Daphnia pulex: one gene and its partner. The protein of the gene in region 1 purifies or fractionates together with the protein of each later gene. This does not show direct contact. Links are inferred from orthologs where the notes say so. Each region holds a gene or a part of one and is shown in the gene's direction. Other genes may lie near its edges.

The links. Proteins that work in one complex are often made in the same cells at the same time.
Region 2: the proteins of serine/threonine-protein phosphatase 6 catalytic subunit-like (region 1) and serine/threonine-protein phosphatase 6 regulatory ankyrin repeat subunit A-like purify together in Homo sapiens (affinity purification with mass spectrometry; 9 studies listed by BioGRID and IntAct, with this or other methods). This does not show direct contact. The link is inferred for Daphnia pulex from reciprocal best matches to the Homo sapiens genes PPP6C and ANKRD28.

Annotation. Positions count from the first base shown.
Region 1 is NC_060019.1:6,997,070-7,000,399, reverse strand, and holds serine/threonine-protein phosphatase 6 catalytic subunit-like, read left to right. Parts: upstream 1-1,212; 5' UTR 1,213-1,284; coding exon 1,285-1,356; intron 1,357-1,655; coding exon 1,656-1,751; intron 1,752-1,816; coding exon 1,817-2,024; intron 2,025-2,085; coding exon 2,086-2,165; intron 2,166-2,255; coding exon 2,256-2,714; 3' UTR 2,715-2,830; downstream 2,831-3,330. Other genes in the region: alpha-amylase 1-like, read left to right, coding at 15-170, 242-253; probable 28S ribosomal protein S16, mitochondrial, read right to left, coding at 552-692, 757-909, 1,041-1,142.
Region 2 is NC_060017.1:4,293,210-4,297,232, forward strand, and holds the start of serine/threonine-protein phosphatase 6 regulatory ankyrin repeat subunit A-like, read left to right. Parts: upstream 1-1,223; 5' UTR 1,224-1,390; coding exon 1,391-1,417; intron 1,418-1,595; exon of another isoform or gene 1,596-1,614; intron 1,615-1,685; coding exon 1,686-1,919; intron 1,920-1,994; coding exon 1,995-2,185; intron 2,186-2,247; coding exon 2,248-2,431; intron 2,432-2,536; coding exon 2,537-2,752; intron 2,753-2,815; coding exon 2,816-2,880; intron 2,881-2,948; coding exon 2,949-3,046; intron 3,047-3,358; coding exon 3,359-3,886; intron 3,887-3,955; coding exon 3,956-4,023. UniProt on the Homo sapiens protein: Regulatory subunit of protein phosphatase 6 (PP6) that may be involved in the recognition of phosphoprotein substrates. Involved in the PP6-mediated dephosphorylation of NFKBIE opposing its degradation in response to TNF-alpha.

The DNA of each region.
Region 1 (3,330 bases):
CTACGAATTAATAGACATGTCTTTCGGCTGGAACGTACTGCGACATCATCTCAGGCAACTTGGTCAACGGACAGTGCACAGGCAAATCAGTTACAGTGGGCTCTGATGGCAAGGCTTTGATCAGTATCGGCAATGCTGAAGATGATGGAGTACTAGCAATTCATGTTGAGGTAATAAATGGCGAATGAAATTATTATTGCAGTAGACAAGTCTCAACCTTTGTCATTTTTTCTTTTTTTAGTCGAAGTTGTAAACGCTACTCCAAAGGATCCTTAAATATTACATCATGGATAAAATTTAAAAAATTCGAGTGTTCAACTGATTAATGCAAAAAATGTCTAATCCCTACAATTTACAAACTGTGTGAAATAAAAGTTTCAAAAATTGATTTTCAAATATCCTATTTGAATTACTTTGTCTACTACAAAAGAGAGGGGAAAAAAAGCCAGTTGGCAAGGGCTTTAAAAAAATTTATGATTTCCTACATACCAGTCAACAAATTACTTTAACAAAATGATTTATTCTGACTATATAATGAAAAATACAGCAAACTAAATTTTGGGATTGTCAAGAGGAGGTGCAATTCCTTTGATAGGCTGTAATTTTCTTTCTCTAGGTGGTTCTCGTCTGTTCTTCCAAGACTGAATCAGAGTTTGAGGATGATTAGGCAAAAATCCAGAGAGACCAAGGAGCTATAGAATAGTTTAATTAGCATTTAAATTGAAGATCAATATACCTAGCATTTAAAAATTTCACCTGTGCAACAGGATTACTCATCCCCGCTCCTTGAGCAAGCCAGTATTGAACTCTTTCAAAATTAACAGCGACTAGTTTTTCATTTTGGCTGTTGGGCATGGCATCATAACTGCCAACCTGTTCAATTACTGGACCGTCAAAATTGTCCCTCGTCTATAAATTCAAGAGAAACCAAAACGCGACAGTTTAGACGTGCCATCCAATCATTTCTTACATAGTATTTATAGTTTCTTTTTCAAAGTAATGGATATTTTCATATGTGAGATGTAACCTTTTTGTTTTACCTTTTGAACGACGATGTGGTAAAAAGGTCGATTAGTGCATCCATGTTTATTTAAGCGAATAACTTTGCCGATTTTTGTAAATGTGGGAATAGCAGACGCCATGATGAAACTGAAAAATAGGAGCGACAGCTACTGACGAGTTTCGACAGTTCTTAGTGGACGTCAAATGTTTGGCCTAGAAGAAAGTCGACTCGAAATTATAAGAAAAGTTCTCTCCAATTAATTGGTTCTGTCACGAAGAAAAATGGTGGCAGATGTAGACAGATGGATAGATATAGCCCGCGAATGTAAATACCTACCTGAAAATGAAATGAAGGTGAGTTGACAGATAACATGCTGACAGTTTTTAATAGTGCTTCAATTAAGGACGTGAAAACCGTGGTAGAACTTCTGTAATACGCGTCTTTTCTCCTGCCAATCGACACCTTACATAAGAAGTTTTGTCATGGTTTTGTCGTCAGTATTTCAAAACGATTTATATGCAATAAAACTTGTGAAACACTTAAAAATGTGATTTCACTTACATTTGGTTGTTCCTAAGCGAGGACTTTAAGCTGTCAGTATGGTTCATGTCAAGAAATTATTCTTTAATCATTTTTTTCTTCTTATCTTCAGAAACTTTGTGAATTGGTTTGTGACTTGTTGCTGGAAGAATCAAATGTACACTATGTTTCAACTCCAGTTACTGTCTGTGGAGATATTCATGGCCAGGTATTTTTTTTTTTAAATATTTCAATTTATATGGATAAATCCTTTGTAAGTAATTATTTTTGCAGTTTTATGACCTGGAAGAGCTCTTCCGAACTGGTGGACAAGTACCAGACACAAACTATGTTTTCCTTGGAGATTTTGTTGACCGGGGATACTATAGTTTGGAAACCCTCACACGGTTGCTTACATTAAAAGCCAAATACCCGGACAGGATCACACTATTGAGAGGAAACCATGAATCCAGACAAATCACTCAAGTCTATGGCTTTTATGGTACCACAAATTATTTTTGAGACTCATTTCATCTTTAATGATTGCTAACATTTGGCTCTAGATGAATGTCAGAACAAATATGGAAATGCAAATGCATGGAGATATTGTTGCCAGTTATTTGATTTACTCACTGTTGCTGCGGTAAATAGCCCACTTTGGTGCAATCTTTTATTAATATTAATTTGCTTATTTTTCTATTAATTTTTTTTTCTATTGGCTTCTTCATTATAGTTAATTGATGGTGAAGTGTTGTGCGTGCATGGCGGCCTTTCCCCTTCTATTCGGACGCTTGATCAGATCCGCACAATCGAAAGAAATCAGGAGATTCCGCACAAAGGAGCGTTTTGTGACCTAGTGTGGTCTGATCCTGAGGATGTGGAAACTTGGACAATTAGCCCTCGAGGTGCCGGCTGGCTTTTCGGCTCTCGAGTCACCCATGAGTTTATGCATCTCAACGGATTAGAGCTGATCTGTCGTGCTCACCAATTGGTTCACGAAGGCTACAAATTCATGTTCGACGACAAGCTGGTGACTGTTTGGTCAGCGCCAAACTACTGCTACCGCTGTGGTAACGTGGCTGGTATCTTGGCGTTGAACGAAGACAAGTCTCGTAAGCCTAAACTATTCAACGCTGTTCCCGACAGTGAGCGTGTTATCCCACCATACACAACGACGCCCTACTTCCTGTGAGTTTTAAAAACATAGCCCGAAATTTCTCCAACTGCTCTGCATTCTTTGATAATAAATAAACACATGTAAAATCAGTTCAATCCTCCTTAAAGTCAATAAATGCTGTTTTGCTGCTGTCCTATTGTGTCTGGCACATTGAGAGACGACAAAAAAGTTTCCTTTACTTTTCAGTGTCAGTTTTGTACAAAATTCCATTTTTTTCTCGCCAGGCAAAATTGAAAAGTTGAAAAGATTTCCCAACTTAAAATTTACCAAGTCAGTAAAAAGGTTGCTAGATGGCGTTGGAGTAGCTATATTTGTCAATTCAAAAAATGTGATCCGCCCACTCCGGGAATTTATTACTTCATTTTTTGTTTTTTTCCTTACAAAAAGATTGTGATTGTGAGACGACTTTTACCATTGTTTGATAAGAGAGCACTGTTGTTACACATAAAAAAAAAAAAAACTGCTAAACAATCGGACGAATCGAGATCGCCTGGGGCAGTAAATCCTCCTTGAAAGAGATCGCCCCCTCTCCCTCCCATTTTTCACCTTTCTTCTCTCTCATTTTTCACCTCGGCATGGCTGGAGGCTATTTTACTTTAGTCCTCACGAGTCGACGCCAGCAGCTTCTCGC
Region 2 (4,023 bases), on another chromosome or scaffold:
AATTATATCCTCAACCGTTAAAAAATCAGACTAGTAACGATTAGATGACAGAGTTTTTTTTTTTAAATATTTTATATGATTTTTAAAGACCTTTTTACAAATTAAATGGCTGGGTAATAAAGAACTGAACTTGAATAGGGACATACGAGAAACAAAAAGAAACTATGAAACGTTATTATTATTGTTTTGATTAAAAATGAGTTTATTACACGTAGGAATACACAGTAACGCACTAACTATTTTTGTGAAACGACCGAAAGGAAAGGTTTCGAAAGATCGACTTATCAACTACAAGTTAATATTGAATTATAGACGTTAGTTTGCATAAGTTCGGTACTTTCCATTCTGCGTGATCCAACATACAAAATTATATCATGTGAAACATTTAACACAAATTAATTAACAAACAATTATGTAATATGTTTAATTGGACAGTACGTGTTGCACGCTTAATTGTTGTTAAAGTATTTATCCTGCGTTAGTCGTTTTTTAGTTCCTCAAACAGTCACACCTTTTCATTTTGTGTTTTCTCCTTCCTTTTAGTAGAACATATTTCGCGTGTCAGTTATTTTCCTTGAGTTGATATTTGCAAAGAAAATCTTTCTTAAAAATTATTTTTTTTTTGTATAATTTTTATATGGTTAACACTATTATTTCATAAAGACGTAGTTTTGCGCCAAGGAATTACACATCGGGAAATCGAATATTCCAAATCCTTAACGTAACATTTTAATTTTTTCAAAATATTAGGAACATTTGAATAGAGATGTCCTTGATTTATTGGCTGTAATATCTATGTCCACATATTTGAATTCCGTGTTGTATGTTATCACGAAATAAAAGCATCCGAAAAGCAACGGATTATTATCACTCTCCTTTCATTTAAATATTACGAAGAATTGCCGTGCCCGGCCGGTCCCTCTTGGGTTAGTCTAGATTATATCTTTCTAATTAATGAAGGGATAAAAGCCTGGTCCGAGTAGCGAACACAAAAACAAATCGATGTCAAATCAAATCAAACTTGATGACAGTTTGGAGTTTGAACTTGTCATTTTAGCACACCTGACGTCTGCTAGGAACCTGGTCTACACGCTGCATGGCAAGTTCCAGAGATGGCGCTGGCGACTGGCTGGTTTGAAAATTTGAAGGAAGAAATTCAAAGAGACCAGATTTTTCCAAACTAGCCCCTCCCCTTGGATAGACACGTGACCATCCCACGTATATACGTATCATACTGCTGTGCTTTGCTCATGACACCACGGTGGTGCATGGTGGCGCACGACATAACAAAACCATTTAGTTCTTCCGGTTCTTCCTTCATGTGGTTTTGTTACTCATGTAAATTCCTTTCTCAATTTTTTTCGTGAACGAGACCGGAAAGTTGTTTGAAATGGTTATCTTAGATCTTAATAATGAAGTGAGTTTGCTTACAGACAGAATTGTGTCAATAATTAACAGAAATCGTGCGATTAAAGTATTCAATATTCACAAACAAAGTATTTTGATTTTACTTTGTTTTCAATTTTTCAAAATGCATCAAACTGTTTCAGTTTTAACGTTGTGACGCAAGTACCAGTGTCTCGACGGTTGAGATGAAATCGCTTTACAACTTAAGTGACACTAATTATGTTGCTATGTTAAAATTATTAGTTAAATATGACTGACGTAAATTTGCATTTTTGCAGCCTCTTCTTGTTCAAGCAATTTTCAAAGGAGATTTCAACGAAATAAAAAATCTATTGAAGGAAAATGTTGACATCAATTATCAAGATGAAGAAAAACGCAGTCCGTTGCATGCTGCTGCATTCAAAGGTGATGCCAACATCACAGACTTTTTAATACAAAAGGGAGCAAGAATAAATATCAAAGATTCCAAGTGGCTTACACCTTTACATAGAGCTTGCAAATCAGGAAATGAGGTAACAAAATAATGATTTGATGATAAATGTTTATAGTTTTCTCTAGTAGTTACACATATTTGGTTTATTTTGCAGGATGCAGTTAATGTTTTGCTGAAGTATAATGCTGATACCAATGCTCGTGATAAAAACTGGCAGACTCCTTTACATGTGGCCAGCTGTAATAATGCTTACAAATGTGCTGAAGCCCTACTCGCTTCATCTCCTACTGTAAATGTTTCTGACAGAACAGGTCGTACAGCACTGCATCATGCTTCTTTTAATGGGTGAGATTTGTGATCTCTGTGATGTGTTTAGTTTCCCTAACTGATTTTGTTCATTTTTCTAGTCACTGTGATTTGGTAGAACTTTTGATTGAGCATGGAGCCTCGGTGAATGCGTTCGACAAAAGAGATAGACGCGCACTACATTGGGCATCTTACATGGGTCATGAGTCCGTCGTGAAAATCTTACTGCAGAATGGAGCTGAAGTAAATATACGAGATAAAGACTTGTATTCGCCATTGCACGCGGTAATTTCCCAATAACATTTGTCTTACCATGTTTTACCACTAACTCTAAGTTCCGCCAAATAATTATGAGAATTCACGGAAATAACACCCATTAATTTGAATTAGGCTGCTGCTAGTGGACAAGTTTTTGTGGTGCAACAACTCCTAGAAGCGGGGGCCGATTTTAATGCCAGTAATTCATTCGGTAACACTCCGCTTCATACAGCTTGTCTTAACGGACATGAATTGGTCTGTCAGGATCTCATAGCATCAGGAACTTCTGTCAGTGCTGTAAATTTAGCAGGGCAGACTCCAATTCATGTATCTGCTGCTGCGACTCATGTAAGCCGAAAAATCACTTTAGATGAATACAATTTACGTTTGATTTTGAACATTCTTACATAGGGAGAACGTTGCTTGGGCCTTCTCATAGAACGAGATGCGAATATAAATTTTCAAGCTAAAGACGGGTATTAACTTATCACTTTGTTAACAGCATGGAAACATAAATCACAATGTAAAATTCATTTGATTTTAGGCGCACCCCTTTACACATGACCGCAATTCACGGGCGATTTATGAGAGCACAAATGCTTTTGGATCGAGGAGCGCTAGTTGATATCGGAGACAAAGAAGGTTGCACTATCTTTCTTTTTTAACTATTCAATCATCTTAATATTTTTTAGCTTGTCATGAGTTGACACATATTTTTATATATTCATTAATTACTCACTCGACATAGTTTTTAAATGGATATAGACAAGCTACAGCTAGGTATTCTAAGCAATCGGTTTACGCTAATCCATTAGAAATTTGTGCTATAATTCTAGTGATAAAGTAATTTGTTATTTGTTGACTATTTTCTCATTAGATATTAATTCGCTGGTCAAAACCATCGGAATAAAAACACCTCGTATTTATTATGGTTATTTTTGGTTTCCTTTTAAGGTTGCACTGCCCTACACATTGCAGCTGCACACGGGCACGAACTATTGATTGGCGTGCTTCTCAACGTCGGGGCTGATCCTAGCCGAAAAGGTCGTAGTGGCATGACTCCAATGCACTTAGCAGCCCTCAGCGGCTATGTAGAATGTTGTCGAAAGCTCCTTCAAGTCCGTGGTGAATTAGATGCTCAAGATGATTGCGGAAGAACATGCCTTCATCTGTGTGCTTTTAAAGGAAACGCTGAATGCCTTGATTTACTTATCAGTAGTGGAGCTGATTTTAATTTGATCGACTCCTTTGGTCGGATTCCATTGCATTATGCTGCAAGTCAAGCTCATTTCCAATGCGTCTATACTTTAGTCAGTGTGGGGTCCAGTGTAAATTTAACAGATTCAACCGGTGCAACTGCCCTCCATTACGCCGCTGCTATGGACACCGACGGCAAGTGTGTAGAATATTTACTGAAACGCAAAGCAGACGTCTCCGCTTTGGACAAGCAAGGCTATTCGGTACTTCACTACGCTGCGGCAGGTTTGCATTCCCAGAGTTGTTCGGAAAAATAACAAATGATGTTTACTATTTTTTTTTTATTCTACATAGGTGGACAGCATGGAGCCTTACATGTGCTGTTGAAACACTTTGTGATACCCAATAGCAACGGTCACACC